2 linked regions of the Daphnia pulex genome follow. The protein of the gene in region 1 interacts with the protein of each later gene in a pairwise test. Links are inferred from orthologs where the notes say so. Each region holds a gene or a part of one and is shown in the gene's direction. Other genes may lie near its edges.

What was found. The genes of interacting proteins can lie anywhere in the genome.
Region 2: the proteins of DNA replication complex GINS protein SLD5-like (region 1) and DNA replication complex GINS protein PSF1-like interact in a two-hybrid assay, tested with the Drosophila melanogaster proteins (2 studies listed by BioGRID). The link is inferred for Daphnia pulex from reciprocal best matches to the Drosophila melanogaster genes Sld5 and Psf1.

Annotation. Positions count from the first base shown.
Region 1 is NC_060022.1:2,232,205-2,238,358, forward strand, and holds DNA replication complex GINS protein SLD5-like, read left to right. Parts: upstream 1-2,961; 5' UTR 2,962-3,496; coding exon 3,497-3,619; intron 3,620-3,691; coding exon 3,692-3,838; intron 3,839-3,905; coding exon 3,906-4,057; intron 4,058-4,121; coding exon 4,122-4,295; intron 4,296-4,367; coding exon 4,368-4,467; 3' UTR 4,468-4,539; downstream 4,540-6,154. Other genes in the region: tau-tubulin kinase homolog Asator-like, read right to left, coding at 1-254, 1,803-1,918; ras-related protein Rab-4B-like, read left to right, coding at 4,802-4,817, 4,923-5,003, 5,244-5,338, 5,402-5,421, 5,487-5,704, 5,773-5,868, 5,937-6,061.
Region 2 is NC_060027.1:3,076,685-3,081,113, forward strand, and holds DNA replication complex GINS protein PSF1-like, read left to right. Parts: upstream 1-2,846; 5' UTR 2,847-2,947; coding exon 2,948-3,019; intron 3,020-3,085; coding exon 3,086-3,150; intron 3,151-3,205; coding exon 3,206-3,283; intron 3,284-3,353; coding exon 3,354-3,723; 3' UTR 3,724-3,769; downstream 3,770-4,429. Other genes in the region: solute carrier family 35 member F5-like, read left to right, coding at 1-33.

The DNA of each region.
Region 1 (6,154 bases):
TACTCGACGAGCTGCTATTGCTGCTATGCAAACGTACGGCTGAGGTTGTTGAGGCTGCGACTGCTGGGCGTCGACCGGCACGAACGCAACCGCTGCTGCTCGACTGCGAAAAGCCGTTGACTAGGAGGGAGAATGCCGAGATTTTGATGCCGCCCAGTCCTGTGGCGGAAACTGCGACCGATCTGACGGATGATACTGTCGCCTCGTCAACAGCTAGCGCCGCTACGTCTAAGCAGGGACTGGGTTCCGCCGAACTAGCAACAACAAGAAAACATAAAAAATGTGAAGGGAAACCAATAAAAGCCGGGCATACCCCCCACCGAAAAACAGGGGGTTGCAGACGGGACTCGTACTACTGACGGTTCTGTGTGGGCGGCAAGCGTAATACATGAGACAATGGAGCATTGTCACGCCGTACCACCGTACTGCACCGGGAAACGGTCAAAACGTTATAGCCAACCAGCTGCGACTGATTTATAACCACTACACAACAAACGAAACAACTGCGTTACCAACAATCAGTTGTCGCCCGAATTTTTACTATGGAGAGAAAAAGGAAACGAATGCGAGAAAATGGCGCTTTTCTACTTCTAGCAAACGCCATTCAAAACTATCAAAGCATCTGAAAAGCACCGAAAAATAAGGGGGGTAGAGGTGGACTGGGGGCATAAAAAAGCCGAAGAATACGACGAGAGACAGGGGGCCGCCCCGAGAGATATTTTCAGATCGCGGTCATCAGCTTCAACAAACAATCACGACAAAAGAGAAAACGAGACGTTCATGTTTGCTGCTGCTCAACGGGCATATAGCCAACAACACGCACGCACTCACGCAAGCAAGCAAACACACACACACACACACAGTTTGAATTAGATAGAGTCCTGTTGGTATAAATACATCATTTGAAAGAGACGAGCGCCAATTCCAGCTTCGACCAGAGATTTTCAGTGGCTAACTTTGTCGACTCAACTTCCTATAATATTCAACCTTGAAATGTGTGTACAAGCGCGACCTTTTCAACGGGGGAAAAAAGAAGGAGAGACAGAGAAAAACGGCCCAGGCAAACTGGTTCTGTTTGGGATGTTTGGATCGATCAGAACAGTGGCGAAACGTAGGATTCAAGGTGTGTTTGCGAGCGATTCCTATACGTGCAATATAGTCTAGTTGGGGAAGTCCGAAGATGTATACACACATAAAAAGCCACACCACCGTTCCTATTTTTAGTCGACGAGATCGTACCGCCGAGACAGATACTGTCTCTGCCACTTTTTGCCCAATGCTCCACCTTCCTTACTGACTCAAATTCACTAGCTCTTTGAGACTGATTGAATCCTGCTATCACTCGACACCCCTTTGTTTTTCTTGCTGAACAAGGGCAACTGCGCTGGGAAGGGAGACATTGTCTACTGGAAAGTGAGAAAACGCAATACTCCATCACCCACTTGACTCTGCTCAATCCACAATTATGTTAACCTGGAAATGTAACAAAATTTAGGTTGGATCTGCTGGTTACGTTCACTTCACTAACTTCCAAACACTTTTCCTACCAACATGAATGAATAATGGGATAATCCCGGCCATACCCACTTGAGACCAGCCGTCATACCCCAGACAAAAAAATCAGTCAATGATAGAAAACCCCAGTAGTTCGCCCTCCAACAAAGCACGTATACACAGACCAGATCGTTGCCTAAATCGATTTTTCTCCAACAAGCTCAAATTGCTCAATCACACGGGACTTTCCTCGAGGAAAAGAAAACCTTATTAGTTAGCCAAAACAAATCTATTTCAGCTTTTCTTACCAGTAGTTTGGCAGAAATCTATAGAACAGTTGAACGCCATATTTGTCGACACATTCGGACTGCGGCTGAGCAGAGCAGACGAAACAAAATTTGTTGGAAGGGGTTGGGTAACGCATAAAATCGATGATGCTAAGCTATCGATATGTAGTCTAAATCGATTTATAATTTCATACGAAATCCGGTCAACGACTTTTTGAGCTGTTTCCGTGAATGGGAACTGACCAAAAGCAATTAAATAAAATATTGAAGATAAAAATTTTGTGATTTACCACTGCATTATCTCCCAGCGCATATCGGCTGCTTGCGGGCGACAAGGAGATTGAATGTAATTCGCCAGCGCGCGCACTCCGGAAATCGACTTTCTTTTTTGTTTTCACCTCTCGATAATAAATGTGTTGTGGTAGCTAGCTGTTGATATTCCCAATAAGAAATCGACGTCGATTCCCCCACACTGTGCGAACTGCGGAACTTTGCTTTTCGAAACGATATGCAGTTTTTATTGCTCGTGGACTAAAAGAAGGAGCTTTAAGTGATCGAGCCAGCTCCGCTAGCCAGATCCTTACAGACTGAACGCCCGCTATGCTTGAGCCGGTCTCTTGAATACGGCCTCGCTAGTTCTTTTTAGTTTTTTCTTGGCGCTCAACACGTCACGACAACCCGAAAAGCTTGTTTTGTTTTCTCCGTCTATACTACTACCCCTTAATTCTCTTACTGTAGCATTTTGTGCTACAGTTGGCGTAAATGAAAACTAGAGTTCCTTATGTGACGGTTTTATTTAGACCCGAGTGCAGCAATTTCAATGATCGTCTGGAAACGGTCCATGTGCAGTTCGTCACTCAACGTCCGCTCTGTTTAGTTAACCACCTGCCGCCAGATACGTAATTATACGTACATATACCTACGGTTTGTACAGCAGACCACGCAAAAGGGATGTCTTTTCTTGTAAATAATAAATACTCGTCGTGCGATCTCTGTACATTTCGTAATCTAATAATAGCACTAGATTGCTTATTTTTACAAGGATGTTGCGTATTCGCGAACACGGATGCCACGTAGGAACAAACCATCTTCTTTCGATTTCGAAATCTTGTCCTCATTTTTAACGTTCTCTCTTTTTTCGCCGTCCAATTCCACCGATAACTGTGATGGAACAGGAGTTGAAGGAAATGCGAAACGCCAACGCAAAAAAATTCAAGTTGAACAAAATGTCGAGTATACCGTGATGGTTTGCCTTACTATTGTTTACCTTGCTCTACCTTAAGGCACTACCGTCCGCCCGGTACAAACTTGGCCAAATCACAACATCTTTTCTTAGAATATAAGATGTAACTAAAAATATACATGGTTTCCGCTCGCTTGCATTTGCATAATGTATTCTTAAAGTCGATGAGCCAGCACTTAACCAAATGGCAGAAACGACTTGTTTTGTTTGTTGTCGATTGACACGCTTAGCTTAAACTGATATATTTTTTCAAAGAGGGCCAGGTTTGCTTTGCAAATGTTTGAAGAACAAACCCGTTTAGAACGGAACAATAATCCAAGGAAAAAATAGAACATTTGAGCTCTGGCTTCATTAGCCGAGTCATGCAACGATGTTTTTGTTTTTGGCGGGAAACGTTGTTTTGTGAGGCCTCTCCTGTCAAATAGCAGTCGGCTTGTGGTAAAATTTCGTTTACGATTGAATAAGAATAATAATGGCTTCCTATTCCGGAAATCTAACGCAACTAAGTGATCTTTTCGGAACAGCGGATACTATATCAGAGACCGAAGACGCCGAATTCTTATCTGCTTCTGAAGCCGTCAAGAAACTCGAAGAGGTTTGGAATGATTAGACGTGCCAAAAATGTCCTGTTTGATGTTGACATTCCTCTGTATTATTGTATGTCAAGAGCTGGCTCAATGAAATGCTCGCCCCAGAATTATTATCTCCACAGACTGAGCTAGTTGACTGTCTTTTAGAGCAGACAAAGAACATGGAAGAGAATCTGATGGCCATTTCTAAATCAGATTTTCGATTTGCTTTGCATCGAATGGAAGTATGAACTACTAAATCAAGATTATGCCCTTCCCCCTTTACTAATATATTTGTAAAACATATGTTAGGTTGAAAGAATACGCTATGTAGTTACATCATACCTAAGAATACGTCTGGAGAAAATAGAAAAATTCCTTGGCTACTTGTTGAACAATGAAAACAAAAGACAACGAAATGAACCAAGTTTGCTTACAGAAGATGAATTAAAATTTGCACAAGAGTATAGTATTACCAGTTATTTTTGTTAAGTTCCTCTAACAACCATATTGTTTGTTTTTTGACAGACTAAACTCCAACACAGAAACCCACCTAAAAACTCTTGGACTCAGACACATGCCTACAAACATGAGAGAAATCAACACCCAAAAATTCATTACAACTCCAAACCGAGATAGCTACGTTTTCGTATGCGTTAAGGATGATGCCCCCTCAGTTCTTGTGAGCGATGGCACTAGCGAGTAAGTGTTTATATTGAATTCAAATAATTTTTTCTTCACATTGTATTCAAAATTCTTATTTGATTTTATCAGGGGTGAAATAGAAGTGGAACTGCTGATGAATTCTCAACATTTACTTCCGTATAGATCAATTTCAAGCTTGTTGCAAAATAATACGGTCAATTTGTTGTAATTTAATTAAAGCTACACTTTTTGTAAAACTTTTATGTAAAATTTCTTCAGGAATACAGGTAAATTTACAAAAAATTAATTTATTTTCTATTGAATACAACATACAAAAGGTGGCGCTAATGACCAAGTTGTTTTTTGAGCCGAGAAAAAACGTCTGCTAACTAACTTGTTAGACTTCATGAACTCATATAGCCAATCACTTTCCTTGCAATCACAAAGCTACATCCTGTTAGTTGATTTCTGGTTTTGACAGTTTCTTACTGATACTTGAGACTGAGACCCTTTACATCGGTTTATTGATAATATAGCCTTTCTCCGTAATTGTATGCCCAAGGATGGCTGAAAATTTCGGTAGTATTTTCTTGTTTACTTGTTGTTCATTAGACAAACGTCAACCCATTTTTTTATTGTTCAAAAATTCACAATGCTAATCAATTCTACTTTTATCTTATTCAGAATTCCTTTTCAAATTTCTTGTCATTGGCAGTGCAGGCACAGGAAAATCCTGCTTATTACACCATTTCATTGAGAAAAAATGTAAGCCATGCTTTTATTTTTTTTTTGTATTGTAAAATTTCAAATGTGTAGATAGTTTGTAGATAGTTACACAACAAATGAAATTGTCTTGTATATGAAAGGTAGATTGTTCGTTTCGTACTGTAAATTTGCAGTTGCTTTTACAGCTTGTCTAACAGGACTTTTTTTTGCAACAACATAATTCATTATTAATGCATATTTATTAAGAATTCCCTGTTTACATTTTCTCTTGGTTCACAGTCAAGCAAGACAGCAGCCATACCATTGGCGTGGAATTTGGTTCAAAGATTGTCACAATAGGAGGAAAACAAGTGAAGTTGCAAATATGGGACACTGTAATATAGCATATTCAATTGTATTCGGTTTACCTAATAGCTAAATCATTGTTTGTGTTACAGGCTGGACAGGAACGATTCAAGTATCACAATTGTCTCTTGTTGAATACTATCAGTTGAATATGCTAATTTTTTTGTAATAATTGAGGTCCGTTACAAAAAGCTATTATCGAGGAGCGGCTGGAGCGCTTTTGGTCTACGATATCAGTTCGAGAGAAAGTTACAACGCCGTTTCGAATTGGCTTACTGACGCTCAAAATTTAGCAAATCCCAATTTGGTTGTTTTGTTGGTTGGGAACAAAAGAGATTTAGAAGAAGATCGACAAGTTTCATTTCTAGAGGCCTCTCAGTTTGCACAAGAAAATGGTAAATCGTTATTCGTTTAAGTAATAGTTTGTAAACATTTGTCGAATTCAAGATTTCTTTTTATTTAGATCTAATGTTCCTAGAAGCCAGTGCGTTAACCGGTGAAAATGTTGAAGAGGCATTCCTGCAATGTGCAAAGACCATTCTTTCTAAAGTTGAAACGGGTAATGTAAATCCTAAATTTTGTGTTATAATCAAAATTAATTTCTGTTATTGTTTTTAATATTTAAAGGTGAACTTGACCCCAATAAATTGGGCTCAGGTATTCAGCATGGAGAGACGGCTATTAGAAGATTCCAGCGTCAGTCGACATCTATTTCAGTAAATCCACCTTCATGTTCGGGTTGCAAGATCTAACACTATCAAAAAGAACTTTCAAGACGTAGAGACAGTTAACCATGTCTTAAATTCCAGTGTAATAATAATTCGAAACACGTCTATTTATATATA
Region 2 (4,429 bases), on another chromosome or scaffold:
CTAATCGATCAACCCGAATCCTCCTCGGAATAATAACATTCCAACACTTCCGCTTGAAATGTTCTCAAGCTACCTAGTCAACATCTCGCCATCCATTTGTTACGCTCACGCATTTGAATCATTTGTCTCAATGACGCTCGGTAAGAGGTAGAAAGATATTCTCGACTGACACATTCCCTTCTTGCGTCTCAGTTCGATTAATTTGCACAGAATAGGACAAATTTCCCGATGATATGTTCGTAACTGATTACTTTCTTTCACAAATTATTGCCTGTTCATGGAGAAATCACAACCGTATAGGCCTACCGTCTATTTAAACGTTTGTTTCTGTTCACCCTCGTATATCGTTAGAAATACTTTTCCTTGACTCCCTAAACAAAGAATTCCCTCAATGGAAGTCTTAAATTCGACAACTTAAAATATATAATCTAAATTGACAAAACAGATTCAATTTTTTTTTTTAAAATTATTATTGTGACTTTCGATCACATTTTCATAGAAAATTTTCCTTCGTGACTACTGTGGTCCTGCTATGGTGTATTCTGATTAACTGAAATTGTCCTGCCACTTCACACAGAGTATTCTTTGAAGAGTCGTCGGGAGATCTTGTTGAGGCGAGTTTGTAAGGCCTATAGCCTACCGAACGAAATAATCAAGCACACTGTAGGTCTACAGTTCAGAACTATCTATCGATTTGCATATGTTTGTTAACATTTCTTGAACTGCTGGGAGCTTGGAAGAACTCTCATAATGTTAATATACAAAACGTATGTTCAATATTTAAAATTTACGTACCCCAACGACATGTGTTTCCTGACATGTGTAATTATTTTTCCCTTGCTTCAAACGATATCAAAATGTGCCGGCCAGGCGTCCATTTGGTCGCATTCGTTTACTGTATGTCCCAGACACAACAAAATGTCTTTTGGTTTGTATTCCATATAAGGTACTAGGAAGAACAACGACCTCCGCAGCCTTGACCGGTAGCTGCAGGGAAGACTATTTCCGTGGTACACGGTATCTGTCGTCTGTTGCCAAATTCAATTCCTCCTTCGTGTAACGATGAAAAAGAGAAAGTACTGTAACCTACTTTTTCACGCGGGAAAAAAGCAACAGGGGCGGTCTCGTGAGAGGAACTCGGAGCATGAGCTTCGCAGAATATTCTTTCTTTCGATCAGATGCCGGTTGCCTTTTTCTTGATGAACACAGCTTTGCATTGCGTCTCCTCGTGGTAATGTAAAAAAAAGTTTTCAAGCACTGTCTCATTTGATCTTTTGTAACCATTCGTTCGTTCAACTTTCCATAGAAACATTTGTTGTCGGTTTATTCCGTGCTCTTTCTCGGCCTTCATGCCTTTTTTTGTTTTTATTTAGTAGAAAATGGTGTTTAGATTTCTGAACACACCACTTGTTCGAACTGTTGTTAGATTCGGCAAAGTTATTGCAGTGGAGAAATTTCGGAAGATGTGGTCAGCAAATCAAAACCTGCCTACGAGGACCGATGCTGATGATGCAAGAGAAATGTCGCGTGACGAAAAATGGCTTGCTCGTATGAAGTGGTTTCACACTATGTAAGTAAACTTAATTTTTCAACCGTCCATAAATGACGTTACCCAGTTTTTCTCGATAATGGACATTAATAACATTTTAAATATCTACCTCTCCCCCGGTTAAGGCGTTCAAAATCCCGCGACACCCCCACATCATTTATGGACGGTGTTCTTTGACTGATTAACATCACGTTGTAATTTAACTCTTAACTTTTAATTAAGGAGCCCTGAAAGTGAGTTCCTAGAATAAAATGGTTTAGTTCAACCGTTAAACACCAAACAGAATCCAGTCCTGTCATCAAGCAAGTCATCCAGATGGGAAGTTGACAAAACCTGAAGATATCTAGCGTCACTTTCGAAATTTTTGTTACTGTTGTACCTTCTTCAATTCAATAACCTAACTTTGTTTTTGTTTTGTTTTCTTGTTTGTTGGTTTTTACCAATTCCCTGTGATGTTTTCTTTCAATTTTTTCAAAGTATTTTTTTAGAGTGTTTTCTAGTCCGTAACTGGAAATGTTTTTAAGTAGTCAAAAGTCAAGCCGTCGCGCTCGCGCACTTAAAACCATTTTTTCAACTAAACGCTTGAAAAGCTCTTAAAATAATGTGGCAGCCAGAGTTAGAATAACCCGCGAAAAGCAAAGAGTGCAACCTTTTTTCGCTCTTGCTCTTCAGGTAAATACCCGAACTCTGGTGCAGTCATTCTCAAATGCCACCAAATGTAAAAGCTTAAAAAACATTGGCATGTTTGATTCTGGTAGTTCAGCAGTCAGCTCGAAGGAAGAATAAAAGAAGAAGCTTTTTTCACACGCCTTCGTCTTTCCATTCTTCCCTCGGGCTGACCAAACATGCCGATGAGATATGGTAATTGTAATAGATTTAGATAAAACCTTCAGTTTATTCATAAGAATGAATATTACTCTCAGGGATAAATTATATTATCCACATATTACCCTAATTATGATATCTCTTCTCAAACCACCCCATTAGAAAATCTTCGGCCAAATCTATTCTGTTGAAATGCTTGAGATGACAAGACACGATTACACGCATTTGGTGCTGGATATAAATTATGGAATTTTGAGTTTTGTCGATTTTTTTTTTCATTTTTTTGTTGTTGTTTTGTCAGAGCCATTAACTTAATGTAACGTTAATGGCTCTGGTTTTGTTGGTTTAAATTAAATTAATTGCGCTTTTTCCGTAAGCGCGAATATTTATAAAAAACGCAACCATGTAATCATAGCTTTTGAGTTTCGTCGTTTCGTCTCGTCTGCTGATCATTTCCCGCCTATTCGTGACTGTGTCTTGTGTGTGCAGTTGTGCTTGTGCATTCCTTGCGATTCCTTGTTTAGATTGAAATTGAATGAACAATTAAAAGTATTTACGCATAAAAAATTCGTCATGTTTGCACAAAAAGGAGTGGAGCTGGTACAAGAACTGGAAAGAGCAAGAGATTTCCTTCCACCATTCAATGTAATTGTGTTTTAATATTTTGTGATGAAAGTAGTAAAACTTTTTTATTTTTATTTGCAAAAACAGGAAGATGGAGTCCGTCAGGTACTCGAGGAAATGAGAGCTTTGTTTGAAGAAAATCAAAGAGATGCGTAAGAAAATCCAAACATATAAAAGGGAATTATGTATACATTACTTGACTTTTAGGAGCTCTGCTGTTGCTGGAGAATCGGAATACATAACTTCAGTACACATCCGACACTGTGCACTGGAAAGAAACAAAAGGTAACCACTGAAAGTTTGAAGTGTTTTCATTAAAATTCCTAATTAAGTTTTATTACTTTTGAAATTTTAGATGCCTGATGGCCTACCTTTACAATAGACTTGAACGTATAAAAGAACACCGCTGGCATTTTGGCTCTGTCCTTCCATCAGATATCAAGGCTAACATTTGTGAGCCTGAAGCTCAGTTCTTTATTAAATATAGTAAATCCCTTGCTGCATATATGAAATCTATTGGTGAAGGAAGTTACTCACTTGATCTAACACAGAACTTGAAACCACCAAAGAATCTCTACATTCAAGTTAAATGCATTACTGAATTTGGAGAGTTTGAAACTGAGGATGGGGATATTGTTGTATTGAAGAAAAATAGCTTGCATCTCTTACCTCGTGTTCAGTGTGAGTTGCTTATTGCTCAAGGAATTCTTGAGCATGTTTCATGATTTTTTATTAATCTTTATTGATTACAGAATAAAATAATGTACAGTATACAATTTAAATAATTCAGAATTAACAACAATTTAAAGTAAGTAGAATTTATTTTAAATCAAACAACTCATACCATTTAATGAATTATAATTTTATTATCATTTTTCTTCCAGCATTAGTTTGATCACTTTGATCTTTTCAATTAACTAATTTATTTAAGTAACCCAAAAGTCAAATCAAGAAGTGTAGAAGAAAAAAATCGCGTTTAAAAAATGTCGCGCTTTGACGCGAGCAGACGATTTTGTTTCCCTCCGGCAACCGGCATATCTATTTATCTAATTCATTTTTTTCTTTTTATAAACAAACTGGAACTTTGCTATCGCTTCTTTGGATGAGCTATGAACTCACGTGGGGGAGGGTTATTGGGTTATTCTAGATTATTATAAAGACGTTGAGGAATAAGACTAATCGTTCTTTGTTTCCAGACTACTTTACTTAAAGTAAGTATATAATCCGTTGCTTACGTGAACAAGCGAATTACGAGAGTTGATTTTGTGATTTTTGACTTTTTGACAAATTTTTTGAATATTAATTGCAAAATCGAACAAGACTTTCACAAATTTCGGTTATGTAATGCATATTTGAACAATCTCACATGATTTGATTGCTTAAAAATGTAATAATAGTTGGGAAACCTTTATTATGGTATTTCATTTGACG